2 linked regions of the Caenorhabditis elegans genome follow. The protein of the gene in region 1 purifies or fractionates together with the protein of each later gene. This does not show direct contact. Each region holds a gene or a part of one and is shown on either strand. Other genes may lie near its edges. The genes, in order: sbds-1 and natb-1.

Region 1 (4,480 bases):
TTTTTTATGAATTTTCTAAAACATTTTCAACTTCAGCCGCTTCCTCACATCAAAATTAACACCAAACCCCTAAAATATCCTACATTTTTCCAGAGAAAATTCATAAAAAATGTCACATGGCTCACCAGCCCCATCGGCGTCGGTTTCCAGTGACGGCGAAGAGCCAGAAATAGACGTGATGCCGAGTAGTGACGAGGAATCCGAGCCAATATACATTCCAAAGGAGAAGGAACCCGTCGTGATTCGTGGAGTTGGAAATATCACAGTGTAGGTGGTTTTTAAGAGAAAAAAAGCTATATTTATCAAAAAAAATCATCGAATTTTCCTTCAGATTTGGCATGAATTCCCGTTTCAACACGGAATATCCGCCCGAACTAACCGGATATATTGCTCCAGAAGAACTCTCGGCGACACTGTCTCGCGTAAATTCTGTGCTCAAACGCCACGTACAAACGTCATCGCGCTGGCTTTTATGTGGATTAGCGTTTTGCTGTTGCTCAATTGGATGCTCAATGTGGCCGGTGTTATGTCTGAATCGGAGGGTAAGAATTCGAAAAATTAGGCGAGATAATTCGGCTCCGTGTTGATTTACGAGGATTTTTTCGCCGATTTTCCAATAAAATTCATCTGAAAAGTGGTTTGAGACACTTTGAATGGGTCTGCTTAATATTTAGCAGACCCATAGTTGGTCTGCTAAATATTTAGCAGACCCACAGTTGGTCTGCTAAATATTTAGCAGGCAATGGCAGTTATGAACTGTTTAGTTTGAAATGTTTGAAACACTTTGATTTAAGGTAAGAAAACCAACTGAAAACCACTAAAAATGTGGAAAGAAACCGCCAGAAACTCGAAAAATCTAGAAAAATTGTGCCGTGAAAAGCCTGTAATTTTTTTTTTTAACCAAAAGAACTGAAAAAATCTAGATAAAATCCCCGTAAATCGACACAGCCCAGTTTTCAGTTAAATTTTCTCTTAAATTCCCCAATTTTCAGACCGTCTTAGCGCTGGAAAAATGTCTGGACCACGAGAATGTTAGCCTTTATCACAAATTGGGCCTCCACTGGTCCCTGGCTCGGCGCCCAACGGAGCCCTCAGACCGCCTGACCGAATATGTGCTCGAATTGAAAACTTTGCCTAAACCCGCCTTAAATCTTCCCGATTAGTCCCCATCCGGAAATTGCGAAATTTTGCACATTTTTCGAAAAATTTCGCATTTTCGCCCACTGTTTCCAAACAAATTTGTACTTTTTTTGTTCTTCCATTTGACCTGATTTTTCCGTATTTCTGTCTATTTTTGTATATATTTCCCGATTGTCATCACCACCACCACTTCCCCCAATGCTTTATTCAGGGTTTTTAGTTTTTTTTTTTTTCAAATCGAATCTAGTCTACCAGGCTTAAATGACTGAAAATTGGCTTGAAAATTATTCGGAAAATATCAAATATACTGAAATTCTTTAAAATTTTGAAAAATATATCTACTTTTCCGAAAAAAAACATGAAAATTCTCATTTCTGAAACTAATGTGAGCTTTTTCGAATTTTTTTGAATCTCAGAAAATTTGAATTTTATCGAAAATTTTCCAATTATTCTTATATACCGAATTTTCAGTCATTTAGACCCAATTTTAACTAAATTCGAATCCGATTTTTCGTTTTTTCGACGCTACGACCCCGAAAAACACCCATTCTTCTCACCTCAACGACTGGTTTTATCTCTTTTTTATTTGATTTATCGACTTTAAAGTTTAAAAAAATTCAGATTCTCCGTTAAAATGAAAATTTAGATTAAAATTTTTTTTCGACATTTGAAAAAAAAGTAGTTTCAAATCTATTTTTATATCTCAAAATGGTCTCTTTTGTTTTAAAATTAAAAATGCCAAAATCTCTTAAAATTTCAGCCGAAAAAAAATGTCAAAAAATATCAAAACGCCGACAAATCAGAAAGTTCTGACCAATGTGGCAGTGGTTCGAATGAAGAAAACCGGAAAACGATTTGAAATCGCTTGTTACAAGAATAAAGTTGTTAATTGGAGAAATAAGAGGTAAAATATATATTAATTTTTAAAAAAATCATATAGAAATCTGAAAATTTTAATTCTCAAACCATTTTCTCAGTGATAAATAAAAAAACAGTTGTTTCTAAATTAACCTTTTGAATAATTTTGTTCAAATATTATTTTTTGGAATTAATATTTACCATATCAAAAATCAATTTAAACAATTTCCCAAAAATCTAAAAAAATTTTCAGCGAAAAAGACATTGACGAGGTGCTCCAAACCCATACAGTCTTCTCAAATGTCTCAAAAGGACAACTTTCCAAGAAAGAGGAGCTTATCGCCGCTTTTGGAATCGAGGATCAGTTGGAAATTTGTAAAATTGTAAGGAAAACTTGGATTTTCTGGAAAAAAAGAAATTTTAAAGTTTTTTTTTCAGATTAAAAAACATTTTGGCCTAAAATTTGGTGTAATTAGTGTTATTTGTCATCTAAAAAGTTGAATAAATTTATTCAAAATAGGTAGAAAAAGACAATATTTCCTAAATTTCAGATTCTCGACAAAGGAGACTTGCAAGTGTCGGAAAAAGAGCGTCAGGCGGCTTCAGATCAATCGCTGAAAGAGGTACAACTTGCCACGTAGCAAAAAATGAAAAAATTTTAGATTCCAGGCTAAAAACCTGTTTTTTTCTTTAAATTTTTAAAAAATTAGGTAGTTTTTTTCTCCTGAAAAATGTAAATTTTCCTCCAAAAAAAATCCTGAAAAATCTCAATTTTTCTTCAAAAAAAATCCTGAAAAATCTCAATTTTCGTCAAAAAAATTCCTGAAAAATGTAATTTTTCATCCAAAAAATTCCTGAAAAATCTCAATTTTCCTTCAAAAAAAATTCCTGATAAATCTTAATTTTCCTCCAAAAAAAAAATCCTTTAAAAATCTCAATTTTTATATAAAAAAATTCTTGAAAAATGTGAATTTTCATCCAAAAAAATTCCTGAAAAATCTCAATTTTCCTCTAAAAAATTCCTAAAAAATTCCTAAAAAATTTCAATTTTCCTCCAAAAAAATTCCTGAAAAATCCCAATTTTTTCTAAAAATTCCTAAAAAATCTTAATTTTCTCCCAAACAAGTTCCTGAAAATTTTTAATTTTTCTTCAAAAAAATCCTGAAAAATCTCAATTTTCCAGGTATCCCAGCTGATTGCCTCAATGGTCGTAAATCCTGAAACGAAGCGTCCAGTTCCACCGTCAGTAATCGATAAAGCTCTACAAGAAATGCACTTTTCCCTGAAACCGAATCGTTCCTCAAAGCAGCAGGCTCTCGACGCAATTCCAAAACTTCGTGAAACTCTGAAAATCGAACGAGCCAAGATGAAGATCCGTGTGGCGATTCCGACAAAAGAAGCGAAATCCGTGCACACGAAGCTTAAAACCCTATTCAGTGACGTGGAAGTTGACGATTGGCAGGATGGAAGCCTCGAGATGGTTGGGCTCATTGAGCCCGGATCGTTCAGAGCTTTGGACGATTTGGTCCGAAATGAGACGAAGGGACACGGAAGATTGGAGATTCTCAGCTTGAAGGATGTCGTCGAAGGAGAATTGCAGATTTCTTAAATTTCATGTTAAAAATTTTATTTTTTTGTTGCTTTTTTGCTCTTTTGCACTCAAAATGTGCAGACATTTTTGAGTGTTTTTCTTTTTTTCCCCTCCACACACCCGAGAATTCTTTTTGGATCTCAAATTGTTATCATCAACGTTCCCATGTTTTTTCCCAGTTACCAAAAACTTTTTGTGTCAGGTTTTCAGAAATCATTATTGCTTTTAAATGAAAAGTGTTAATCTTACAAATTTTTGAGAAAAACAATTTGGAAAAAAACCCCAGGAACATGATTTGAAGGCTAGAAAACTAATTCTCTAAGTTTCCCCGGCTCGAAAAAAATTCGTTCAATATTTATTTTCCATCACTTTGCATAATTTACAGTACTCACCAGGCCAGCGAAATTCATGAAATTGTACAATTTTCTTGTTGTTTTTCCAACAAAATTTAAAAATAACCCGGACTAGTCGAAAACAAGGCAGTCGTGGGGTACTGTAAATTAGGCGGCCTACCAAGTTGAGCCTTCGCCAAGTAATCCTCTATTTCCCTGTCACAACCGATAATGGGGCAATGTCTTGGAACCCTGTGCACTGTAGATTCAGCTACAGATAATATTTCCAGCGTCTATCAGCTGGCAGGCCCAGTTGCGGTGAAAGAGAGCCCACGTATTGCTGAACGGGACCCAAAGGTAATATTTTTCGTTTTTTTTTCAGAGTCTTATGTTTTCAATCTTTTTTGCTGAGAAACCTTCGAAAAAAAAAACAAATCTAAGCTTAAGTCTAAACCTAAGCCTATGCCTGGAGACACAAGCCTAAGCCTACGCATAAGCCTAGGCCTAAACCTAAGCCTACACCTAAGCTTAAGCCTAAAGGTTAGCCTAAGACTAAGCT
Region 2 (3,154 bases), on another chromosome or scaffold:
ATGTCGATGATAAAAAAAATTTGGAAATGTTTAAATTTTTTTTAACAAAAAGAAAAATGGCCAAAACTTGAAGCAATTTTTCGGAAAAAACGAAACATTTCCGAATTTTGAATATGGAAGTTTCGAATTTTGATTTACACCTGCAACATATGAAGCTGTTTTTAATTTCTTGAAACCCGATTTTTCAAGAAAAAATGTTATTAATTTTGGTGAACTAGAGCTATGCTCAAAAAAGCCATCTTAAATTTGTATTTTTTGATATCAAAATCAGTCAGCATTTTTTTTTTGCATTATCCTCAGTACTTTAAAAATTGAGTTTAAAAATTTCTGATTGCAGTGAAATAATAAATTTAACTCACCCAGTTCCCATCGAATGACCCCATACAATAACAGGCGTCTTCCCGCAATTCTCCTTCAGCCATTCGTATACTGTTTTTGTATCTTCAACAATTCCTTTTTCGGTTGGTGTTCCTTCTGAATCTCCATATCCTCGATAATCGAAACAGACGACATGATAATTACAATCACTGAGCAAATTGTACATTTCCACACGATGGTAGAATGTGCGATCGAACGAGTTTCCATGAGCGTAGAAGATAATTCTGAAATTTATTGATTTTTTTTGAATTCATTCTTTGAAAATCCTACTGATTCTCTGAATCCCTCATCATATCGTCAAAATCTCTCTCTGTCGGATGTTTTCCTTCTGTTCTCCATTCTAAACTCAATTTGTTGGGCAGAATGTGCCAAACACCAATCCTTCCACTTTTTCCAGGCAAATGAAGAGATCTTCCGATTGATTTAACGTTGTTCGACGCCAAATCATTGTAATCGGTGTTCGGCAGACGTCCTTAACAAGGTAACATAGATCAAAGATAAAAGATAAGATAAAAAAGAAAAACTAACGGAAATTGAGAAAGAAGATGAACTGTGTGTAGCGTGGAAGAAAATATACCAGTATTGGAAGGAAGATGACAATTGAGAGGACTAGAATTGTGATACAGAGTAGTAGCGGTTGAATAAGTACACTGAAATTAAATTTTCGTTTAATAAATCAAGTTTTAAAATGTGGAAAAATGCCTAAATTTAAACTTACATAAAATAGCCTAGCATGATGTTGATATTTTGTTAGTTAACCGCTTCCATTCGAGTAGTCAAGTCACCTGAATGCATACAAAATGAGGTATATTAGATAGTGTACTTGAAAGTGAAAATGGAAGCAAAAAAACTGGAATTTCTTTAAAAGAAAGAGAAAAGTGGAAGAGAGAAGCAGAGGTATACACAATATACTCACCCTGCTAGTCACTTATTGATTTTTTCTCCTGTTAGTGTTTTGTTTGTACTTGATGACGGTCAGGAGGAGCGCCTGACCGCCTGACCGATTTATTTTTTGAAACACAAAAAACGAAAGAGGATAATTTTTCAACGGACTACGGTGGACAAGTCCGCAAACACCGCGCACTAAACTTGCGTACTTTAGGAATTTGCAAATTAATTTGGAATTTTACTCTTTTTTATTAATTTTTAACTTAATTAGCCTGATAATAGCTTGTTTTATGCTTAAAAATAAATCAACGAGCTGCAAAAATAATTTAAATTCTGACAACACAGCGCTATGCCCTTTACGAAATTTATTTGAACCGTTTTTAATAGTGCCACCTCGTTTTAGCACTTTTTCAACTCTTTTCCGCGTTCGCCAAATTTATTTTCCCATTTTGTTTGCAAATAACGAATTTAAAATTTGTTAACTCTCTCAAGTAATGCAATTTCTTTGTGATTAATATAACACTTAAATTTACCCTTCAATATTGCAATATATTGCAGAACTGCGAGTAAAAATGACAACTCTCCGGCCATTCGACGTTATGGATATGTTCAAGTTCAATAACGTGAACTTGGATATCAACACTGAAACGGTAAATTGCTCAGTAAATAAAAAAAATTTAAATATATTTATTTTTGCAGTATGGCTTCCAATTTTACCTGCACTATATGATGAACTATCCGGAGTATTACCAAGTTGCTGAACATCCAAACGGGGAAATTATGGCCTATGGTTTGTTTGAAAATAAATGAAACATAAATGTGAAATAGTTTAATTTTTCAGTCATGGGAAAAATCGAAGGACGCGACACCAATTGGCACGGACATGTAACTGCTCTCTCTGTGGCTCCAAATTTTCGTCGATTGGGACTAGCCGCCTACATGATGGAGTTCTTGGAACGTACTTCTGAAGCGTAAGTGATGGCAAATTAATATTTTATTAAAATCTAAGAATTTTCAGTCGTAGAGCATATTTCGTCGATCTGTTTGTTCGTGTTTCGAACAAGATCGCCATCGAATTGTATAAGAAGCTTGGATATGTCGTCTACCGGCAAATTATTGGATACTACACTGGAGATAGGGACGAAGATGCTTTTGATATGCGGAAGTCGCTTTCTCGCGATCCTGAAAAGAAAGCGATGGTTCCTTTGAATTATCTCGTGCACAGTAGAGACGTGGATTAATTTTAGATTGTTTTGTTTAGTATTTATTTATTGTTTAATGTTTATTGTGTTGGTTGTCTTGTCAGTTATGACAAATTATTAAATTTATTTATATTATTTAGATTTCTAGAATCATTCACAAATCAATGCCAGAGTCTTTACAATTGTATCAACAATTTGATCCACATTTTCACTATTCGCATCAACAGTGACGATATTTGATTCATCGGGACTCGGAAGTTCAAGTGTAGCCAGCTGACTATCAAGTAAAGTAGATGGCATGAAGTGTCCGGGACGGGAATTCACGCGTTGCTGAAGAACTTCCCTGCAAAAAATGAAACGATGAATGCGTGAAAATGTGTGAAAGTGGGAAAACGAGCGGACGGAAGCGAGTGCGAATTTGAGTTGTTTGTTGTCCATTTTCACTTTTCTGCCCATTTCTTTCACCACATTTTTTTGCGCGCTGAACATTACTTGCCTTTTTAAATTCAACAGAATGAAAACAGCTCTTCCGCTGGCTCCATTGGGAAGATGTTCACAAAGAATGGATCTATAACGTCTTTTAAGCGCAGAACAAGCGATAACGTATCCTTGATTGAGTCTTGCGTAGTTGTTAATAGCTTGAAGCCATGGAAGTCTATCAGAATCATTCAGTGGTGTGCCGGCTT

The links.
Region 2: the proteins of sbds-1 (region 1) and natb-1 fractionate together in Caenorhabditis elegans (co-fractionation; one large-scale study listed by BioGRID). This does not show direct contact.

The regions. Positions count from the first base shown.
Region 1 is NC_003281.10:635,840-640,319, reverse strand, and holds sbds-1 (Ribosome maturation protein SBDS), read left to right. Parts: upstream 1-1,900; 5' UTR 1,901-1,910; coding exon 1,911-2,044; intron 2,045-2,251; coding exon 2,252-2,381; intron 2,382-2,549; coding exon 2,550-2,621; intron 2,622-3,181; coding exon 3,182-3,607; 3' UTR 3,608-3,834; downstream 3,835-4,480. Other genes in the region: tag-266 (Golgin subfamily A member 7/ERF4 domain-containing protein), read left to right, coding at 110-267, 332-542, 993-1,163; eakr-4 (EAK-4 Related), read left to right, coding at 4,153-4,278. UniProt on the Caenorhabditis elegans protein: Required for the assembly of mature ribosomes and ribosome biogenesis.
Region 2 is NC_003283.11:7,982,102-7,985,255, reverse strand, and holds natb-1 (N-alpha-acetyltransferase 20), read left to right. Parts: upstream 1-1,824; 5' UTR 1,825-1,838; coding exon 1,839-1,916; intron 1,917-1,965; coding exon 1,966-2,056; intron 2,057-2,107; coding exon 2,108-2,237; intron 2,238-2,284; coding exon 2,285-2,507; 3' UTR 2,508-2,599; downstream 2,600-3,154. Other genes in the region: abhd-12 (Serine aminopeptidase S33 domain-containing protein), read right to left, coding at 360-602, 649-850, 907-1,028, 1,097-1,113; F26D11.1 (Gluconokinase), read right to left, coding at 2,619-2,811, 2,965-3,154.